Linked DNA regions of Pelodiscus sinensis. The protein of the gene in region 2 purifies or fractionates together with the protein of the main gene of each other region. This does not show direct contact. Links are inferred from orthologs where the notes say so. Each region holds a gene or a part of one and is shown on either strand. Other genes may lie near its edges.

Region 1 (3,749 bases), on a different chromosome or scaffold from region 2:
TTCAGTCCCTCACTAGTGTATGTGACAGATGATGTCTCTGAACAGGTCGCCTCCAGAGCAGAGGGCATAAGAATTAGCTATTTCAAGTTCGTCAGAAACACCAACATCTGACCTGGCACCTCATCGCTAGTCACCGCCACCCGGTGAGCCTCGAGGGGCGCCGCTGACAAGAGTCTGCCCGAGTGGCCCAGGCGCAGCATCACTCAGTGACCTGCTCGGGGACCCGGGCGCCTTTGCAGACGCGCGTCGGTTTTTCCCCCACATTGCCCCGAAACCAGCTTCCCCGCGAGCTCCCGGCTCCCCCCAGACGCCGCCCGGCTCCCGGCAGCGGGTTTCTGGGCCCAGCGCGGCCGCTCGATCCAGCTCTCCGGGGCCGGGCGCGCTCCCTGGCTCCCGCTGCCCCCGCCCCCAGCCGGCACCGTACAGCGTCATGCGCGGGCTCCACGTCACCGCCACGGCCGCCAGCTTCCCCCAGAAGAGCGTCTCGTTGAACTGCACGAAGAGGCCGCGCACGTCGGGGCTCGGGTCCAGCAGCTCCCAGGCCTCGTCCACCACCGAGAGCGGCCGCGGCGGGGACGAAGAGCCGGGCGGGGACCCGCTACAGGCCGCCGCCACTGCCGCCGCGTCATCCTCTTCCTCCCACTGCGCCTGCAGCCGCAGCGCCAGCAGGAAGTCTCCGTCCATCCCGGAGCGGCGCGAGCGGGCGGGAAGCACCAGCCTGTCAGTCTCCCAACCGGCAACCGTTTACTTCCACTGCGGCGCATGCGCAATACAGCTAGGCAGCCTCCGACGGCCTTCTCCGCACATGCGCATGCTCCCAAACGTTGCGCGTGCGCGTGCGCCACTGACATCCCACACTTCACTTCCGCTCTGTCCAGCGCAGGCGTACTACCCCCCGGGTGGAGGGGGCTCAACCAGCGCCTGCGCAGGACAGCTAACCTGGCTCGGACGCCGGGATATTACGTCATTCAACAGGCGGTCGCTCTCCAGGCGCAGGCGCGATATGGCGGAGTAGGTGGCGCGGAGAGCCGTTTTCCGGCGCAGGCGCGGTAGCCACCGTACCTGTCACCCGTCTTCCGTTCCGCTGTGGGTGCGTCGCGGCTGGCGGCCTCCCTGCCCGCGGGCCCCATGGCGCTGCCGTTGGCGGAGGGCACGGGGGGCGGGAGCCGGCTGCGGCGGCAGCTGGAGTCGGGGGGCTTCGCCGCGGGCGAGTACGTGAAGCAGCTGTCGCAGCAGTCGGACGGGGACCGGGACCTGCAGGAGCACCGGCAGCGCATCCAGGCGCTGAGCGAGGAGACGGCGCAGAGCCTCAAGCGCAACGTCTACCAGAACTACCGGCAGTTCATCGAGACGGCGCGCGAGATCAGCTACCTGGAGAGCGAGATGTACCAGCTCAGCCACATCCTCACCGAGCAGAAGGGCATCATGGAGGCCGTCACCCAGGCCCTGCTGCTGCAGGCCGACCGCGACGACCCCGCCCAGGGCGCCCGCCGCGCCGCCGCCGACCCCCACAGCAACCCCTTCCTGCCGCTCTCGGCCAAGGAGGCCGCCGCCAGCGAGGAGGGGCGGCAGCGCACCCTCACCACCCTGCTGGAAAAGGTGGAGGGCTGTCGGGACCTGCTCCCCGAGAGTCCCGGCAAGTACCTCGTCTACAACGGGGACCTGGTGGAGTACGACGCCGACCACATGGCGCAGGTCCAGCGGGTGCACGCCTTCCTCATGAACGACTGCCTGCTGGTGGCCGCCTGGCTGCCCAACCGGCGTGGCACCTACCGCTACGACGCGCTCTACCCGCTGGAAGACTTGGCTGTGATCAACGTCAAGGACAACCCACCCATGAAGGACATGTTCAAGCTGCTTAGGTTTCCTGAAAGTCGCATTTTCCAGGCTGAGAATGCCAAGATCAAGAAGGAGTGGCTGGAGGTGCTGGAGGAGACCAAACGGAACCGCGCCCTCAGCGAGAAGCTGAGGTTGGAGCAAGAGGCTCTGCCACGGGCTGCTCCACCACCTCCTGAGACCGCTAATCCTTTTGAACAAGAAGATGAAAAGGAACCCCCACCCGAGGAAGAGACAGTAGATCTGTCCATGGAGTGGATCCAGGAGTTGCCTGAAGACCTAGATGTCTGCATTGCCCAAAGAGATTTTGAGGGAGCAGTTGACCTGTTGGATAAATTGAATGAGTATTTGGGAGACAAGCCCGTGAACCAGCCAGTGAGGGAGTTGAGAGCCAAGGTAGATGAGAGAGTTAGGCAGCTCACTGATGTACTGGTTTTTGAGCTATCTCCAGATCGATCATTACGAGGCGGTCCTAGAGCCACTCGCCGGGCTGTGTCTCAGCTCATTCGCTTGGGCCAGTCAACCAAGGCATGTGAGCTTTTCTTGAAGAATAGGGCAGCTGCCGTACACACAGCCATTCGTCAACTGCGCATTGAGGGTGCCACTTTGCTGTACATCCACAAGCTTTGCCATGTCTTTTTTACCAGCTTGCTAGAGACTGCTAGGGAATTTGAAACAGACTTTGCAGGCAACAGTGGCTGCTACTCTGCCTTCATTGTGTGGGCCCGCTCAGCTGTGAGGATGTTTGTAGATGCCTTTAGCAAGCAGGTATTCGATAGTAAAGAGAGCTTGTCTACTGCTGCTGAATGTGTGAAGGTAAGTGTGTTAGAAAGATAGTGATCTAGTGAACTGACCACATTGCTGGAAGAAGACAATAACTTCTGATGTTTAAGCTATGTTCACTTACTGATTACCTCTGTGGCTTTGATCTGGTCACTTGAAAGGCGCCAGGCAAAAGGGGGAAATTAGCTTATGTTCATGTTTTCTTTATGTTATGTGAAAGGCTTTTTTTGTCTGTTTTGTTTTTTGTGCTTGTGTTTTATCCTGTGAATATCGGGAGTTCAAAGTTTGGTCTTCCCAGGTTTTGCCCAAAGACACTTCAGAGATTGTAAATGTTTGTCAGCTCTTTCACACCTTATTTGAAGAGAGAGACTTTATTTAACAAAAAAAGTTTCAATATTCCTTTCTCCAAAGAGTATATTGGATTTAACCTGAATATGGGTTCACAAAAAAGCTTTAAAAATACTAAAATTCTCTTATTATTTAACTACCCTGCTTTCAGGCCCTTACAACATGATTTTATTACTTCTCTAGTGGTTCCATGTCAGAGAAGATCTGCATTTCTAATATTAAAAAAAAAGATTAAACCAATGTCTTTTTTTTTAAAAGACTTACTTCATTTCTGCTTTATATTTCATTATTTATACTTTTCAGGAGAATATGGTGATTTAACTAGACTATTTTGTAAAATATTTAGTTTAGAAGGTGATATCCAGATAAATATTAATAACGTTTATTATTGAAGGTAGCGAAAGAGCACTGCAAGCAGCTCAGCGAGATTGGGTTGGACCTCACCTTCATCATTCATGCCTTGTTGGTGAAGGATATCAGAGGAGCTTTGCAGAGCTACAAGGATATCATCATCGAAGCCACCAAGCATCGCAACTCTGAAGAAATGTGGAGAAGGATGAACCTGATGACCCCAGAGGCTCTGGGGAAACTCAAAGAGGAGATGAGGAGCTGTGGGGTGGGCAGTTTTGAGCAATACACTGGTGATGACTGCTGGGTGAATCTTAGCTACACTGTGGTGGCTTTCACCAAGCAGACTATGGCCTTCTTGGAGGAAGCCCTCAAGCTGTACTTCCCAGAGCTGCACATGGTTCTATTGGAAAGTCTAGTGGAGATCATCCTTG
Region 2 (3,749 bases):
CAACTAGGCTTTTTATAAAGTGTCATTAACTGCAGCAAAGCACAGGATTTGGATCAAAATCAAGTTTTTATTTAAGTCTCTGAGTGAGATACCAAAATTGGTAAGCTATAAAAAGACTGCCCTTTCCATGCAACACTGCCTGTTGGCATTAGGTTTGATTCTTGATGAATTTAGCACTTCATTCTCAAGTCTGACAAAAATGGATGAGATTGAGATTCATTTGAGGAAGTTGTACCAAATATTTTTCCATATTGTAGATTAATGGTCAGACTATGACTTTAAGTAAGTGGTGCTCTGAGTCTGGAGTCTCAATGCAGGATTGAGGCCTACATAATGTATTAGTGTGAATTTAATTTATAGAACCAAGGGACACCATGAACTTAAAAGCCACATTTCTATTTGAACAGTTTATCTAACACTGTAAAAATGACACCTAAAATTGCTGGAGCTGAAAGAGAAAAAAAAGCATAAACATTTCTCTGCTTTTTAGTGGACTTTGTGCTTTTCACAGCCCTTTTCCCTAAGGAGTTTCTGTTTGTGTGGGTCTCATGCAAAGCAACAGGGACAAGACAAACATTTGGCAAATAGGAAAATAGTTTTCAAACTGACAATAATTGACAAGATGAACTCAAAGGTAGGTGTCCTGTATGAATTCACGTGTAAATTATAATTTGAAGATAATTAACTTACAAGATGAAAGGGGACACCAAAAATCTGAAATACTTTTCACCAGTGAACTGTTTTAAATATGTTTATAAAGTGTTATATACTTTTCACAAAATCTCCCTTCTGTTTTCAAGAAAAGACATTAATTAAGTGGGAACAGAGTAATAGGCACATGTTACCAGAAGATAGGAAAACAGCAGCTGTGCAGCATGCTTGGACACAAAGTCCTCAGGAATCACAAGGTCAGCCCAGGGTCTAGTTTTTCACTGCTCTTTTGCTGACTATGGAATCATTGTGGTAGTGATCGTAAGCAGAATAAAAGTCCTGCACTAAAGTTAGAACTGTTTCATGCTCTGCAATGGCTAGAAAAAGCAAATTAAACTTGTTGGAGCTTTATTCAGAAGAAAACAAAGATCAAATATATGAAAATGTCTTGGCTGAGATTGAGTCGTTTGAGCTGCCTCTTGGAACCAGTTTGAGGTAGGCATGGTTTATATAATATTTTATTGTACAAACTGTTTTTGTTGTATTTGTTGGCTGTTGTTTTCCCCACCCTCGGGTACTGGAGACCTAATTCTGCACACACTGAAAGCCATAGGAAAACGTCCTTTGAATTCAATGGGAGTAGGATTTGACCTTAAAGGAACAAGCATAGACTCTACTCAGCCCCTTCTCACCAGAACAAAGAGTGACTTTACAGACTTACCCAGGGGTGGGCAATAAGTTTTGCCCACTGGCCGCTTCAAAAAAATTTTAAGTGGTCACGGGCCGGCACGGGGCCTAATTCGGAAGGGGCGGGGCCAGAATGCTTCTGGGCTTCCCCACCCCCAGACCATAACTGGTTTGGGGGTGGTAGAGCCCATTTGCCCCTCCTTCCCACTAGGCACCCATGCCCCTGGCAGGGTGGGAAGAGGCTTCACACACTTCCCTGCCTCCAGGGCCTGCAAGAAACCATCCTGCGAGCAGCGCATGCCAGTTTGAAGTGTTGCACACTCTTCGCAGGGCCAGGGCAGGTCGAAGGAAGCTTCAGGCAGCTCTCCCACCCCTACGCCCTGATTGGCCTGGGGGCGGGGAGAATGCACGAAGCCTCCTCTTCCCACCCTACCCCCTGCAAGGAACACGCGGCATTTCAAAGTGCCACACGCTGCTTGAGGGTGGGAGGAGATGTCATGTGCTCCCTCGCCCCCAAGTCCTGATTGGCCTGGGGGTGGGGGAGCGGCAGGGCTTCTGCGGGCTGGATCCAGCACGCAGAGGCCCTTTTGCCCACCTCTGGACTTACCAAGTGCTCCATGAAGAAATAAATTACTTTTATAAATGAAACCAAGAAACAATGGCTGTTTTTCCTTAATGAAATGATTTAATTAAAATGCTTGAAAAAAATAGATGGGTAACTTTTAATTCGGATATTTTAAGACAGACACTACCCTTGTTTATCATCAAAGTCCCCCCCATGCACTACTAAACTTTATTTAGTGAAATTCCCACATGCCTTTGAAAAATTTAGATATAATGCATTTACAGTTTACTGAATTTTTGTGGACATGAAACTTATATATTAAAGATTGTATGTTTAGCTTTACTGGTGTCTGCAGCAGTGTTAGGATAGCTTGTCTGGTATTGCAGATGTCAGTTTGCAGTAAGGATTATACTAAAGAAAGAAACCATATATCTTTATTTAGAAATTTAATTCTTCCTGAAAATTGAATTTATTACCCTATTCTGTAAATAAAATTGGTGATGGAAAAAAGAACGTGGGAAGAATTTCACTATATTTCAATTATTTCTACAGGGAAATAATATAGCTAAGGTAGCTAAAACCTGTAAACGGTTTCCTCTTGAGTTTACGGTTTCCAGCCTTGTGAGTAGGGGGTGTATTTTTTTTACTACTTCCCTAACTGACATAGCTATGCAGCAAAACTTTCTACTATAGACCAGGGTTAACAGTATATTTCTAACTATTGACTGCACTAGTTTGTTGGACTCAGGAGTAAGTAAGTAGGCCAATTTGCAATATCTCTCTTCTGTATCACTGCCTGATCTGTACTTTGCAGGATTTTCTTTACAGTTAGAGAAACTCTCTGTAGCTGACAATGGATGCCACCAGTAGGTTCAGCTGAACATGATTTAGCTGCAACTGTAGGTGACACCCAAACTGCATTCAGTACTGTTTCATTAACTGTGGCCTAGTGCTTGATGATGGCTTAATTACTGTTTGTGCATTAGCTGTAATCATGTTCAGCACCATTTCACTTTCTGGGCTGTTCAGCTGCACCGGATGCTTTTAACTGTTAGCAAAGGTTAGCTTTTCTAGTCTATGAAACACCATAAATTCACTTTTAAGGATGAAATTTTCTAAAGTTGGCCTCCATTTGTGCACAGATGATTTTGCATTGTAAAAATATCCAGGTCTGGCCCATGAATGTTGGCAGTTTTTGGAACTCAAACCCAAATGTATCATAAAAAGAGAAAACAAGTATAAAAGCTCCTACTTCTCTGCAATAATAAGGAGCCTGATTAATGTTCCCTCTAATTTTTTCCATTCATTTGCAGAATAAATGTTCTTATGTGCACCAAGACATGTACAGATGTGCACCATCAGTAGAAACACATGCTTCTGGCTCTGGGTGCTTTGCTAATCAACTGGGCAGCATTTGAATCTCTCCAGGTGGCCACACATGTGCTTATAGGAAACACTAACCCTGATGTATCTGAGTCCAAAAGCAGTGGAAAACATGTATCTAGTACCCAGAGTCAACGGAATCTTGCATATTTTTATACCCAATCTGCCAAATTCTATAGGTTAAATAGAGAAAAAATTAAGCAGTTCCCATGAAAATAAATAACAATACTGAAAAGAAATCTATACTTAAGAAACTGATCTTGCAGTACCAAAAAACACCATCTTCTAACACCTGCATCTTGTTAGATTCAGTTTGTAATATTTTTATCCCACATACAAAATTTCTACTAGCTAAAGTGAAAAATACTACGAGCTGCTCTAATTCCACTGCAAAATGCATCACTGATCAACGGCACCACAGAGACATATATCCAGTAGCTGGAACTTGCTGGAGCCTACAATT

The links.
Region 1: the proteins of EXOC6 (region 2) and EXOC8 purify together in Homo sapiens (affinity purification with mass spectrometry; 4 studies listed by BioGRID and IntAct, counting the BioPlex papers as one, with this or other methods). This does not show direct contact. The link is inferred for Pelodiscus sinensis from reciprocal best matches to the Homo sapiens genes EXOC6 and EXOC8.

What each region holds. Positions count from the first base shown.
Region 1 is NC_134713.1:123,879,717-123,883,465, reverse strand, and holds the start of EXOC8 (exocyst complex component 8), read left to right. Parts: upstream 1-840; 5' UTR 841-1,128; coding exon 1,129-2,652; intron 2,653-3,361; coding exon 3,362-3,749. Other genes in the region: DNA-dependent metalloprotease SPRTN, read right to left, coding at 425-684. UniProt on the Homo sapiens protein: Component of the exocyst complex involved in the docking of exocytic vesicles with fusion sites on the plasma membrane.
Region 2 is NC_134718.1:42,542,855-42,546,603, reverse strand, and holds the start of EXOC6 (exocyst complex component 6), read left to right. Parts: upstream 1-951; 5' UTR 952-1,024; coding exon 1,025-1,146; intron 1,147-3,749. UniProt on the Homo sapiens protein: Component of the exocyst complex involved in the docking of exocytic vesicles with fusion sites on the plasma membrane.